Linked DNA regions of Saccharomyces cerevisiae S288C. The gene in region 1 interacts genetically with each later gene. Each region holds a gene or a part of one and is shown on either strand. Other genes may lie near its edges. The genes, in order: LCB1, HGH1, PAN6 and AIM22.

Region 1 (4,229 bases):
AGATTGTCTGTTCATGTTGTCGTGGAAGGTATCAGCAGCTTGTTCAAAAGGTTGGGCTTCCTGCACAGCGTCTAGAATAGGATCAGCAACGGAAGCAGTACGCATCTTCAATCTTGCCTTGTCATCTTCAGAAATCTTGACATCTGAGGCACGGTTCGCTCCGTCATGATCACTCGTGTTACTGATACTGGATTTCTTTCTAAAATGCATCATATTGCCTTGGTGTGCTGTTTTAACCTTGTTTGATGTTTGCTGTGTCTCTTGTGTTAGTTCTCTGCCTAGTGAAACCGAAAATGCTCAAGAAAGCGTACCACGAAAGTACTCCTTTCTTTTCTATTAATAAATAAACAAATAAATAATACAGGTTGCTTTGCCTCGATGGTAAAAGGAAAGAAAATTTCGGATCCGAAAATTTTTAGCGCATTCTCTGGGCGCCGTGCACCACGTCAATTTGACAGAGATGATGTTACGATTATTTGTATTATTGTATAAATATTTATATATATATGTGCGTGTGCATATACTGGCTTTCTATTTTTATTTATTAGATTCTTGGCAACAGGCAAGGATGGACTGCTTGACACTTTCGCAAGCATTTTTGAGTTCCTCTGGGGACATGGCGGCGTTACAGCAGATTTTCAAGCTAGGGACAATTGGTAGCGTCTCCTGTTTTAAAACAATAGTGTTTCTTGTGATGAGAACGTTGTAGTTAATAAGAGCATGATCTACTATGGACTGCAGAAATTTTTCCTCCTCTTCGTATGGCTCAATGAATTTGTTTGTCTGGGACTTCTTTTGCAAAGCTGACATGGTTTCGAATAGCTGTTCGCAGGTGTATCCGAACTTGCGAGACCTATATGCGGGAGTCAGTTGCAGATGTAGGACAGCAGACACTGGAGAGGACGTGACGATTACGTATGAACGCAAGGAGTCGTCAGATGCAAAGGAATCATGCAAAGATTTGGATAGTTTTTGCAGCGTCTGGACGGCGTCGTTGTTGGAGTCCATCAATTTCAAGACTTTGGAGACGGATGTGACGGTGTAAGCCGGCAAACAGGCAGAAAAACAATATGCATTGGAACCAATACGCTGGTGCAAACACATAACACTGTCACCCAGGACAAAACCACCGGTGGACCCCAACGCGGTGGCCATGGACCCAACGGTAATGTCAATGGCAGTTGCGCGATCCATGTTGAAGTGCTCTGACAACCCACGGCCCGTAGCGCCAAGAACACCAATGGAGAAGGTTTCGTCAACAAATAGTCTGAACTTGTACTTGTTCTTCAGCTTAGTCAACTCAGGCAACGGAGCTAAATCGCCCGAGTTGTGGAAAATACCCTCAGTGACGATAAATTTTCTTGGAATGGCGGGCAGTTTCTCAAGTTTCTCCTGTTCGGTCAACTCGTTTAATAAACATTCTAGCGAATTCATATCGTTGTGGTTGAAGTAGTAGACTGTGGATCTGCTTAGTTGCAGAGCATTTTGCACTGGTAATGACACCTGGTCGTCTGCCACGATAACATCACCACGCTTTGTGAAAGCAGGCAGAACAGAGGGTGCGGCACAAAAGTCTTGCCCGTACAGAACGGAACCTTGGGTGCCAAAGAACTGTGCTAAATCATATTCCAACGTGTAATGAACGTCCTGGTTACCGTAGAACCCGGCGGGACCACAGGCGCCCACACCGTAATTCTTGATAGTGGTCTTGACCACTTCTTTCACGGGCTCCGTAGCGGACAATTGCAAAAAGTTGTTCGAGGCCAAATTGAAAACATTGGTATACTTCTCCTGCAGGTTGTTTCTGGTGATAGTAATATGGTTCTGAATGGGCATTTCCATGGTGACGGGTGTTTTGGCCACCCTCCACGATTGCTCATCGGTGGCAGAAGGGTCGACTAGAGGCTCGGGCTCCCAGTCCTCAATTAGCGCGTCAATCTCCTGGGGCGATAGGTTGGGCTTCTGTGCTTGAAGACTCTTTTTCTGTTGTGGCTTGGACAAGTAATAGATGATCCCGTATAAAATAAGCCCTATCTCAACCGTGGTCCTGTATGGATCGTCATGATGCGATTTCTTGATGTACGAAACGATGAATTGGCCTCCCGGGATTTGAGTCAACACCAGATTGAAGTAGTACCATAGGTACGATGAGGTGGTAACAATAAATGCCGGAATCGGTATTGATTTGGGTAAAACCTCTGGGATGTGTGCCATTGCTTTTTTTTTTTGGGTGGGAAGGAAGAAAAAAGGATAAATAACCCTACACGAGCAAAATGTGTATATTGGAGGCCAGGCAGAAGGTTAGAGCGCTCTTATACTGTGCTACTCGATGATGTTGAAAAGAATTTTTTTTATTTTTCCTTTTCTTTTTCTTAAGTACTATATTTTCTCAATCTTACTTTCGTTCACTACAGTTAACCGCAGCAATATGCCCCTATAAAAAAGAATGAGTGAAAAATTTGTTAGCAGAGAAGCAAGAAGGAAAGAAGGAAAAAAAAAAGAAACCGTGTAAGAAATCATGGCGCCTCAAAAAAAAAAAAATACGCGAAATCGATTTCCGTATATGATGATACATATGTTAGGTCTCTTATGGTAGTTTTTAGGGTCTGTCCTGTTTTTTGAAGGCATTGGTTAGGGTCTAGTAAGTAACTCGTATAAAGAGATGTACTTTTATACGGTATGTGTGGCGGTTATTTCCAGTGTTTTTTTTCCCTTATTTTGTGGGTTCATGGAAATAGTACATATTGACCTTCTGCACAAGAAGCCATATTGACAGAGCAGTATGTGAGGACCTTTCTTCTACACAATGTAACAGTCAATGGTTGTAGTCAATACCACGACCTTTACGTGCAGTTTTAGAGCGAAACTTCGGTTTTTTGAGACTTACCTCGTGTTTGTGTCTCCCTGGGAATGGAGCCGCGCCACCCTTGTCTATTATGTATAGTCTTATTTAATCATAGCGATGTTGGTCATCCAGTACACTTCGGTAGCAACCTTCGTTTGTGATTGTCTTGGTAATTGCTTCCAACAACTTTATCCATCATTGAGACAGGGGCCATATCACCCGCGGGGTCTCAAAGAAGGGGCCCACTAATAAAAGCACGAGATAAGAATGCCAGCAAAAAAGCTCCGAAATAATTCTTTTCGTCTTCCCTCCTAGTCTTAACAAGACAAGAGAGAGAGAGAGAAAGAATACTCACTAGAGATTGTTTCTTTTCTACTCAACTTAAAGTATACATACGCTATGAAAGCATTCACCAGTTTACTATGTGGACTAGGCCTGTCCACTACACTCGCTAAGGCCATCTCATTGCAAAGACCGTTGGGTCTAGATAAGGACGTTTTGCTGCAAGCTGCGGAAAAATTTGGTTTGGACCTCGACCTGGATCATCTCTTGAAGGAGTTGGACTCCAATGTATTGGACGCTTGGGCCCAAATAGAGCATTTGTACCCAAACCAGGTTATGAGCCTTGAAACTTCCACTAAGCCAAAATTCCCTGAAGCAATCAAAACGAAGAAAGACTGGGACTTTGTGGTCAAGAATGACGCAATTGAAAACTATCAGCTTCGTGTCAACAAGATTAAGGACCCTAAAATCCTGGGCATTGACCCAAATGTCACACAGTACACGGGTTACTTGGATGTGGAAGACGAGGACAAGCATTTCTTCTTTTGGACTTTTGAAAGTAGAAACGATCCTGCAAAGGATCCGGTCATCCTTTGGTTGAACGGGGGTCCAGGTTGTTCTTCACTAACCGGGCTGTTCTTTGAATTAGGACCCTCATCCATTGGACCTGATTTGAAACCCATCGGGAACCCTTACTCTTGGAACAGCAATGCCACCGTGATCTTCCTTGACCAGCCTGTCAACGTTGGGTTCTCGTATTCCGGGTCCTCAGGTGTTTCCAACACTGTCGCCGCTGGTAAGGATGTCTATAACTTCTTGGAGTTGTTCTTCGATCAGTTCCCTGAATACGTCAACAAGGGCCAAGATTTCCACATCGCTGGGGAATCCTACGCCGGCCATTACATCCCTGTTTTTGCCTCTGAAATTTTGTCTCACAAGGACAGAAACTTCAACTTAACCTCCGTCTTGATCGGAAATGGCCTCACTGACCCATTGACTCAGTATAACTATTACGAACCAATGGCCTGTGGTGAAGGTGGCGAACCATCTGTTTTGCCCTCGGAGGAATGCTCTGCTATGGAAGACTCTTTGGAACGTTGTT
Region 2 (3,336 bases), on another chromosome or scaffold:
TTGTATACGCGGAGAATTAGGCGAAGGAGGTTATGCCACTGTATATCTAGCAGAATCTAGTCAAGGACATCTGCGAGCGTTGAAAGTAGAAAAACCTGCAAGTGTATGGGAATATTACATAATGAGCCAAGTGGAGTTTAGGTTGAGGAAGAGCACAATATTAAAGTCAATAATCAACGCTAGTGCTTTACACTTGTTCCTTGATGAGAGCTACCTTGTTTTAAACTACGCCAGTCAAGGTACGGTCTTGGATTTAATTAATTTACAACGGGAAAAGGCAATTGACGGCAACGGAATAATGGATGAATATTTGTGCATGTTTATCACTGTCGAGCTAATGAAAGTACTTGAAAAGATACATGAAGTGGGAATAATACATGGCGATTTGAAACCAGATAACTGCATGATCAGATTAGAAAAACCAGGCGAACCCCTGGGTGCTCATTATATGCGCAATGGAGAGGATGGCTGGGAAAACAAGGGAATCTATTTAATAGATTTCGGTAGATCATTTGATATGACACTGTTACCACCTGGAACGAAATTCAAATCAAATTGGAAGGCTGATCAGCAAGATTGCTGGGAAATGCGTGCGGGCAAGCCATGGAGTTATGAAGCGGATTATTATGGATTAGCAGGCGTCATACATTCGATGCTTTTTGGAAAATTCATAGAAACAATCCAGCTGCAGAATGGACGATGCAAATTGAAGAACCCATTCAAAAGGTATTGGAAAAAAGAAATATGGGGCGTTATATTTGATTTACTGTTAAATAGCGGTCAAGCTTCCAATCAAGCTTTGCCGATGACTGAAAAGATTGTTGAAATAAGGAATTTGATAGAAAGCCATCTGGAACAGCACGCAGAAAATCACTTAAGAAACGTAATTCTAAGCATTGAAGAGGAGTTATCACATTTTCAATATAAGGGGAAACCGTCAAGGAGATTTTAGTGAATAAATATGCCTTCATCTCCCGCATAGGTGACTTTTTGGTGTCCTGCCAGATTCCATAGCAATGACAACACAACTTCAGGTAGAGCCAATTGTAACATTAATATATAAAAGGTAATATAAAACTAGCAGGTTCTCAGGTTGAGTAAATATATTCTTTTTTAATCTTGACATCTGTCACTTATGGAAAAACAAGTACCAAAAAAATGGCGATAATGTTATGATATTATTTTACTGAAGCTCTTCATACATCGAGTATGTAGCAATTGCTCCACTTGTTACCGCGAAAACTAACAAGAATAAAAAATAGATGTCTTGATTCGCAATTCGCAGTATATTTCATCTAATAGCTGCAGAGCCAATTGGGATGTTACTGGTAGTGCTACCTTTCGATGTGTTCTGTTATCACCCCAGACGATAATTATTATTGTAGATTTTTCCCTATTCTTCCTCGAAGGGCTTTTTCAAATTTTTTTTTTTTTCATTTTTTCATATTGAGCTCTCTCATCTCATCCATCAATTTATGACGCACCTACTCTAATAACGACAAGTTTATTCTTCTTAAAACGGTATCAATTTAATTTAAAAATTAAAAATAGCTCAAAAAAATCAACAAAAAATTGAGTGATGACTTCACAATTGAATGAATTAGTGGAATTTCTGCATTCACCACAACCTGCCGTAAGACAGATTGCCATTGATAATCTAGTTGGATTTAGTGCTGGTCCCACTTCAAAAGTTTTCAAAAATGATAGCTACAGACCCATTAAGGATATAATAAAAATGATCATGGATCCAGAACACGGCACCCGTGTTATTATTCAGCAAGGTGTCACTATATTGGTCAATTTATCTGAAGACAAGTTAGTAAGAAATATTATATTGAGCGATGACAAGAAGTTCTTAAAATTTTTGGTTTGGAAAATTGTCGATTTAACCAATCCAAATGCCGATATAATGTGTATCTTATTAAGCAACTTAGCCAAGGATGACGGCATTCTTGCTGTTCTGAATATCAAAAGGAATTCAAGCGGTGAGGAGGTCGATGATGGTTTGAAGTTAGCAGCTTTAAATAAAGAAGTTTTCAAAAGTTTGAGAGCCATGGATTGTTTAATGGATTGCTTTGTTAAGGGTTATGATAAAAAATTAACAAAATATGCCAGTTTCAATTATTTAGCCTTTTTTTTTGCGGATATCTCGAGGTTTAAATTGGGCAGGATGTATTTTATTGAAGAGCAGGAATACGATGGGGTTGTTCCTATTTCAAAATTGCTAGTATTTACCGAAAAATATGATGCAAAGGTAAGAAGAGAAGGTGTCGCTTCCACAATTAAAAATTCCCTATTTGATTCTGAAACTCATGAAAGGTTACTCAAAGATGAAAAAATAAACTTGTTGCCTTACATCCTGCTACCTATTGCTAGTGCTAAAGATTCTGAAATTGATGAGGAAGATATGTTCAATTTACCAGATGAACTTCAATTATTACCAGAGGACAAGGAAAGAGACCCGATTCCTGCAATTATATGCTGTCATTTAGAAAGTATTCTTTTGCTATGTACAACGCATGCTGGAAGAGAATACTTAAGAGACAAGTCCGTTTATCCACTAGTGAGGGAGCTGCATAAAAACGTTGAGAATGAAGATATTGGTGAATTATGTTACAGAATTGTTAATATGTTAATGAGAGGCGAGCCAGGTGCGGGAGCAGTGGAAGAGATGCCATCAAAGAATGCGGAAGAGGAAGAAGAGGAGGAGAGTGAAGAAGAAGAAGATGACGACGAAGAAGATGAAATTGTCGAAGTGGCCTAGGTCACTTTCAAGGACAGTTCACATAGCATAGAATTGTATAATACAGAAATAACAATATATTAGAGTTTAGTAGAATTCTGAGTCTTTTCTCAAAAAAAAGGCAGAAAAAAAGACTAGATAAAAAAGTATACTTACTGCAACTAAAATGACAGTATAATGTAACTACATAAGATTAAATGGAAAGAAAAAGGAAAGAATGAAAAGAACGAAAACTAAATAACCTATTAAGTACATAACATTATAAACTAACCTACTCTTTCTTTAATTCCATGTGGTCATTGCCAACCTTTCGACACAATTTTTTTACAATGGCAAACATTAGCTTTTTATTCTCTGCGCCAGGATATTTTCTTCTGATGAACTTTCCAAACTCTTTGATATTGACTTTGCCATCACCAATAGCCTCGATGATATCTTTTTCTGTTATTGTAGGCGCTGGAGTTTCTTCCCTTTCTGCCACTGTAGAATTCAAGCCTTCCTCTTGTTTGATTGGCGAAGGCACTGTATTCGATGCATTATTACTACTATCTACAGCTTTTGTCGTCTGTGGATTCCATTCTCCCTCTGGGAAG
Region 3 (3,235 bases), on another chromosome or scaffold:
TTATGTGAACGAATTTTTCAAAACCTAACTTTAGTTCTTGCATCGAAGGCTCATAATTATCCTCAAGTTTCAAAAAGCTTTTGTAAGACTCTGTAAAATAATCAATTAACAGTTTCTCCACCATTAGCTCATATCTTTCTTGTCTTTGGTCCTGTTCGTCCAAAGTCTTTAAAGGCTGGCTCAGAATTGTTATTTCTTGTGTATTTTGATTAATTAATGAACGATCTACTTTATTCAAGCACATATCCAGTTTAATATTTGTTCGTACCATCCAATGCAACATGCCAAGAAATTTGTGCCAATTAGAGCCACCTACAGCCGAAATTTGTGATTTATTTATTGACTCTAAAAACGGATAACGCAGATTTTTTAAAATTTGATAGATCTCATTCTCGATAGACTTAGTAAAGCCGTAACCTGGATCGAGTCTTAAATATAACCACTTGAAAATGATAATAAACCCCTTTTGAGTGGGTTGTTTTAGAAATTTTATTGAAATGGGATGATTTGTTTCAATATCAAATTTATTCTTTTTCAAATAGTCATAAATCTCCTCTTGAATAGCGCTTTGGAAGTTTTTGTCTCTTAGTGGCCTTGGATCTCTATTGCTCAGATGTTGCTGCAGGCTGCCAAGTTGATTTATTGATAATCTGCTGACGCTGTTTCTACTGTTGGATTTGTCATTTAGAGCCAATGCTGTACCATTTGTACCTCCTGCAACCGTGCTTCTTGTCCTCTTATTTTTATTTATGCCTCCTGTGGGAATGCCAGTCCCGCTTATTGTATTCCTGGCAATACTCTTATTGATCATGTCGGTTAGACCTTGATTCGTGCTGTTTCTTCTCCTCAATTGTGACGATGTTGCAGTTGGTATTTGGGACGTAAACCGATGAGGGTCCATGTGATGTAGCACATGTTGATCAGTACTTGTTGAGCTTTGCATTTATAGAAACGGGTATCTCTTATGGAATATATTATAGTACACCCTAACGTTTAAAGAAAGGAACGTCAGTTATTTTTCTTGTTCCGTTTCAATTTTTTTTACAGGGACGATTCTACCTCTCCTGTGAATGTATTCCAATTATTTCTACCATTTTTGGTGTTGTTTGTTTATTTTAGGAAATATTAGTTTTGTGACTATATCATTCCATACGTTATCTTTTTTTCTTTTGGCACTTTCAGTATGGGTAACCCTTGAAATGGTATTTTAACCGCTAATCGCAATAGACTGCTTACATCTTTAACAATACTTAACGGGGCTCTCAACCAGCCCATAATCACGATATTATTTCAATGTTCAGTTATAACCATCTGGCACATAGTACGGTGAATTTCTCTTCAATCCTAACATCAGTAATGCTTTTCGGACCTCCAACCGTCTTTCCTTTGCATTCACAGTCTTTCCCTGACAAGAGCCCTGCTACTATTGACCCTACAGAGACCTTCTTGTGGCGAATTGTTGCTCTTTTTACTTTCTTACTGATGTAAGTTAATTAGAAGGAGTGATATCTGTAAGAGTGGAAATTAAGCGCCCATCTTTTTTATAATGTTGGCTGAACAGATATCCGGGTAAATGTTACTTTAACGAGTTTTTTTCTTTTGTCATATTTTCCAACAAGAGATTAATGAACATTTCTCGATGTAGCGTACATATTTATGTGTACAAGAAGTGGTGTGTGTTGATACTGCACTGTTTTATACAAGTTTTTATACTGCATATCCATATAGAATTGATGAAAATCTTCCATACTGTCGAAGAAGTTGTTCAATGGAGAACACAGGAGCTGAGGGAAACTAGATTTAGAGAAACTATTGGGTTCGTTCCCACAATGGGTTGCCTGCATTCGGGTCACGCTAGTTTGATCTCGCAGTCTGTGAAGGAAAACACCTATACTGTGGTCAGTATATTTGTAAATCCCTCCCAGTTTGCGCCAACGGAAGATCTAGATAACTATCCTCGAACTTTGCCAGACGACATCAAATTGCTTGAGTCGTTGAAGGTGGATGTTCTATTTGCTCCTAATGCACACGTGATGTATCCACAGGGAATTCCGCTCGACATAGAAGAGCAGAAAGGCCCTTTTGTTAGTGTTCTTGGATTGAGTGAAAAATTAGAGGGGAAGACGAGACCTAACTTCTTTAGGGGCGTGGCAACTGTCGTGACTAAACTATTCAATATCGTTATGGCGGATGTGGCTTATTTTGGGCAGAAGGACATTCAACAGTTCATTGTTTTACAGTGTATGGTGGACGAACTGTTTGTTAATACAAGGCTACAAATGATGCCTATTGTAAGAAACAATAATGGACTGGCTCTGAGTAGTAGAAACAAATATCTTTGTCCAGAGTCTTTAAAGATCTCTGAAAACCTTTACCGCGGGCTGAAAGCTGCGGAAAATGCTATTAGGAGACTAGCACCAGGGGGACGTCTCTCCAGATCAGAAATCATCGATACTGTGACTCAAATATGGGCACCCTACGTTGATTCCCACGATTTCAAAATCGACTATGTTTCCTTAGCAGATTTTAAGACTCTTGATGAACTCTCCGATGTTGAAAACACCAGCGAACAGCAGCCAATAGTCATTAGTTGTGCTGTATACGTGACTGACCGCGAAAAACCCGATACGGTCGTCAGACTAATAGATAACATCGTTATTTAAACTAGGTGATTGGGCCTTCCCGTGTCTGTGTTGCAGTATATACCACTCTTATACAGTATGCACGATATTCTTTTAAACCAACAACGGGATGATAGATTTCACGCTTGATGACTTTTTTTTTAGACGGCTGAAGGGACGACATCCCCATCGCTCAAAACACAAATATGGAAAGGACAAATCGTCTTTCACAGTTTGCATAGTAAAAGCAAAGTTTATACTACTTCAGCAAAGTTGAAGTTGTTTGGCACTTGTTTCGTGCTTTCTCAAATATCTTAGATCACCGTCTGTCTAGAGCATATATCTATTGTTTGACGCACCCCTTTTACAAAAAAAAAAAAAAGAAACAGATCTATTAAGTAATAAAAAAGTTATTTAGGAAATAAGGTGCAGTAAGCTTCCTGAGGCATAATCATTATACTTTTAAAATCTATATTTTTGGGTTATTGTTGAAATATTTTCTTACAAAGCCCATTTCTCGTTTTTGACAATTTTTCTTATCAGTTGTGACTTCTCTTATCGATAAGCAATATTGAAGTCCTAATCACAAAAGCAAAAAAAATCTGCCAGGAACA
Region 4 (3,386 bases), on another chromosome or scaffold:
GGCGACATTGAAGACACAGTGTAAATTATTCAATGATGATTTGGCCTGGTTTTTACAAATGATTTTATCGACGTCAAGAGGATACAGTTCAAGAACGGTTAAGCGACATTGACAAAAAATGCTCAAAAACCACTGGTGCAACTTTACTGGTGGCAGTTTTTTGAAGTGAAAAGGAACTTTATTCTGGAGCGGAAGAAATTCAATAAATGTCACCACAATACCGATGCTATTCTTAGATGATCGATAAAATTAAGTACTATCTGTCGGTTTCTCAAATAACAGTATAAATATTTAGTTCACATTTAGAGACGGCTGAATCGTAACAAAATATAGTTCTTATAGATCTAAAGTACGAACACTCCTAATGTATCGCTTATATTGAAGTTTGCTGTGAATCTAGGACGCGTCTGCTGAAATATGCTGAATCAGTTTCCGGTGAAAGACTTTAATTTTGATATTTACCTACGTTATTTACAAGTGAATTGAAATATTCATCAACGTTATGTGTAACTGTCAATATTCTCCAAAAATCCTTTGAATTCCAAGCCGATTAAATCATTTCTATCACAATCATAAATCATGCCCTTTTCGACTTTAATTGTTAAGCCTTTATCTTTAATCTTCACTGAAAATTTAGGCCCCGAGAAATATTTCCATTGTTCGCTCTGTAAGGTGTTCATAGCATCTTTAATCTCATCGTTTATAGATTTAAACTCGTCACAGTAATATATAGGTATTTCGCCGTCAACTTTGAATGTTTTCTGAAAACGCTCGGATACCACTGCAATGAACTGATTAGGAGTAATTATACCAACATTTTTGATTTTTGATTTTACACTATGAACTCCACTTGACTCCCATTCCATATTGTTCGGTAGTGAGGGTTCTAATAAGCCGCTAAACTGTTCTAAATCCGCATTAAGCAACATCGTTGCATGATGGTATGCTTTGCCACCGGCAATTTTATAAGCACTGCCACTAATTTTAAACCCGTCCTGAATAATATCTCCTCTCTCATTCAAATCTAGTCTTAGTTCGGGATTCAATGAATTTAACCACTTAATTATCATTTTGTTGAAAAACTTTGTTTCGAATTTCTCCCTTGATGTTAAATATGAATAATTAACATTGCCCAAATCATGCAGTACAGTGCCACCTCCAGAAAATCTTCTAAGTAGTTCGAAATTCTTACTCTTCAGCTTAGCAAGATCTACTTCCTGCCACAGATTTTGGTTTTTGCCTATAACGGCGCACCTATCATTGATGTAAAATAACAGTCTGCAATTATCGGGACCTCTTTTGGCTCTTGGTGTATTCTTGAAAACATAGTTTTCAAGGGCCAAATTATAATAAGGACTGGTGGATAAACTTTGTATAACAAATCTGCCCTTTGCCTTTACTATATTTTCCAATTGTGAAGCAGACATGATCTGTTTGGCATATCCAATATTATAGAAATTGTACAAGTCTTTATTAAAAGCACTGATATCTTCTTCCATAGAGCTGGCCTTCGTCGTATCATAATCAGATTTACCTTCATCCTGCAAAATTGAAACGTTATCATTTGAAGGTGTAAACATGTTTTCATACATTGAGTTTATATCATGATATTTATCGTCTGCGTCTTTTGCCCATCGTGTAAGTGTGTGAAATAAAGTGGTGCAATGTATGAGGTTTCGCTGTCCCACATATCGAGGGGAGAGTGCCCAATTACTTAGCATCATAGACATAATGTAAACATCAAAGAAAAGTCTAGTGTTTTCTTCTTTTGTATTCATCAAAAATTCTACATACGTGAGCTCGGAGATTTTTGGATGTTCAATATTCCTGATTAAGTATGACGAAGCGGAACGCATAGCTATCCTTTGCGTAATGATGAATATGAACAATGCGAATGAAGATCATCGATATCTTTGCACTAAAAGACTACTTTGAAGGAATCCTCAAGATATTAAACCCACCAATCTTTTTTACTGGTATAAATTCTCGTACGGGTTCACAGGAACAATGATAAATGAGAGCGTTTCCAAGAGAGAAGGATTCCACGAGTCTATAAGCAGAGAGACGAGTGCAAGCAACGCTTTAGGACTATACAATAAATTTAACGATGAGCGAAATCCCAGGTATCGAACGATGATTGCTGAGCTGCACGAGTTTTTTCACCTTACTTTAGCTGAAACTATAACTGAAACTGACGTGAAAGAATTGGAGTGTAATAAAGAAAAGGCCGCTAAATTTAGAAAGCTAATGCCTAAGATGTTGAACAATTGCCGTGAATTAACGCAAAGGAAATCATACATTCCTTACAACTCAGAATTTAATGGGAATGACGAAAAGCAAAAGAAGTTTCAGCTGCTACATCAACACCAAATTGTGCTGAGTTTTCAAGAATTTTGTGATGAATTGGCAAAGTTAATAATTGACGCGCACGTCCTTAGCTTTTTGACCAGATGCGACTATTCTTATGAAATTATACCCAAAAATTGGACCTCTTTTTACAAGCTATTTCAGTACGTAATGGGTGCCGTTGGTCCTATTATATCGTATGTGCCGGTAAATTATCCCATGATAAGAAAAGAACTAGGATTTGAGACCTTAACGATATTTCAGTATTATGATTCCAAACTTTTCGAATGTATGAAGTCACATTTTGGAAGGGAATTTTCCACCCTTGTAAGCGCTACTATTCATCACTATATTCATATGTTTCCAATAACGAATACAATGTTAGAGAAGGAAGTTCCTATGCTCCGTATAATGTCTAACTGCAATTTTAGTATAGAGGGCTTGAGCCCCAAAGATTTTTATATGAAAACTCTCAGACAATATTACTGTGAGGAATCAAATTTAAGGCCGAGGCTGGAAACTTTCAAGAATTTTAAGGTACTATTGACGAGGAATGCATTATTAGCATCTTTATTTTCCCCTGAATGGGTCAGCGATGCAAATGACCTATTTATAAGCCATCTACTGTTGAACAAGAAGTCTATTAGCGAATACATAGAAATTGGGAAGGACACTTATGATGAAGAAAAAGAGAGATATTTCAAAACTGAGACACACTTTAGCTTATTGATGTTTAGAAATGCTTTTGAAGCAAAAAATATGCTGTCAAAATTCAAGGAATTCTGTGATGATGCCGTTTCAGAAAAGTTAAAGGCAGCATATGGATCCAATCATGATACTGAAAGGCTATTTGATGAGGTAGTTCAGCTAGCTAATGTAGATCACCTCAAAATATACTCCGATTCCATCGAGTACCATTTATGTAATTTACTTGGAAGTACCAGCAAAGCCATAGAACAGTATGTCAAATATTTTGAGTCACATTTATTCATCATCGTCAGAAAGATAAAAACAACTAAAAAAGACCTACCCAGAGATAT

Evidence for each region.
Region 2: mutations in LCB1 (region 1) and HGH1 together harm fitness more than expected from each alone (negative genetic interaction), as found in Saccharomyces cerevisiae (2 studies listed by BioGRID).
Region 3: mutations in LCB1 (region 1) and PAN6 together harm fitness more than expected from each alone (negative genetic interaction), as found in Saccharomyces cerevisiae (2 studies listed by BioGRID).
Region 4: mutations in LCB1 (region 1) and AIM22 together harm fitness more than expected from each alone (negative genetic interaction), as found in Saccharomyces cerevisiae (2 studies listed by BioGRID).

Annotation. Positions count from the first base shown.
Region 1 is NC_001145.3:858,678-862,906, forward strand, and holds LCB1 (serine C-palmitoyltransferase LCB1), read right to left. Parts: upstream 2,215-4,229; coding exon 538-2,214; downstream 1-537. Other genes in the region: GSR1 (Gsr1p), read right to left, coding at 1-213; carboxypeptidase C PRC1, read left to right, coding at 3,245-4,229. UniProt on the Saccharomyces cerevisiae protein: Component of serine palmitoyltransferase (SPT), which catalyzes the committed step in the synthesis of sphingolipids, the condensation of serine with palmitoyl CoA to form the long chain base 3-ketosphinganine.
Region 2 is NC_001139.9:869,660-872,995, reverse strand, and holds HGH1 (Hgh1p), read left to right. Parts: upstream 1-1,579; coding exon 1,580-2,764; downstream 2,765-3,336. Other genes in the region: protein kinase BUB1, read left to right, coding at 1-952; transcription factor IIF subunit TFG1, read right to left, coding at 3,015-3,336.
Region 3 is NC_001141.2:75,782-79,016, reverse strand, and holds PAN6 (pantoate--beta-alanine ligase PAN6), read left to right. Parts: upstream 1-1,733; coding exon 1,734-2,663; downstream 2,664-3,235. Other genes in the region: kinetochore-associated Ndc80 complex subunit NDC80, read right to left, coding at 1-943. UniProt on the Saccharomyces cerevisiae protein: Required for pantothenic acid biosynthesis.
Region 4 is NC_001142.9:350,730-354,115, reverse strand, and holds AIM22 (putative lipoate--protein ligase), read right to left. Parts: upstream 1,731-3,386; coding exon 501-1,730; downstream 1-500. Other genes in the region: cullin RTT101, read left to right, coding at 2,008-3,386. UniProt on the Saccharomyces cerevisiae protein: Catalyzes both the ATP-dependent activation of exogenously supplied lipoate to lipoyl-AMP and the transfer of the activated lipoyl onto the lipoyl domains of lipoate-dependent enzymes.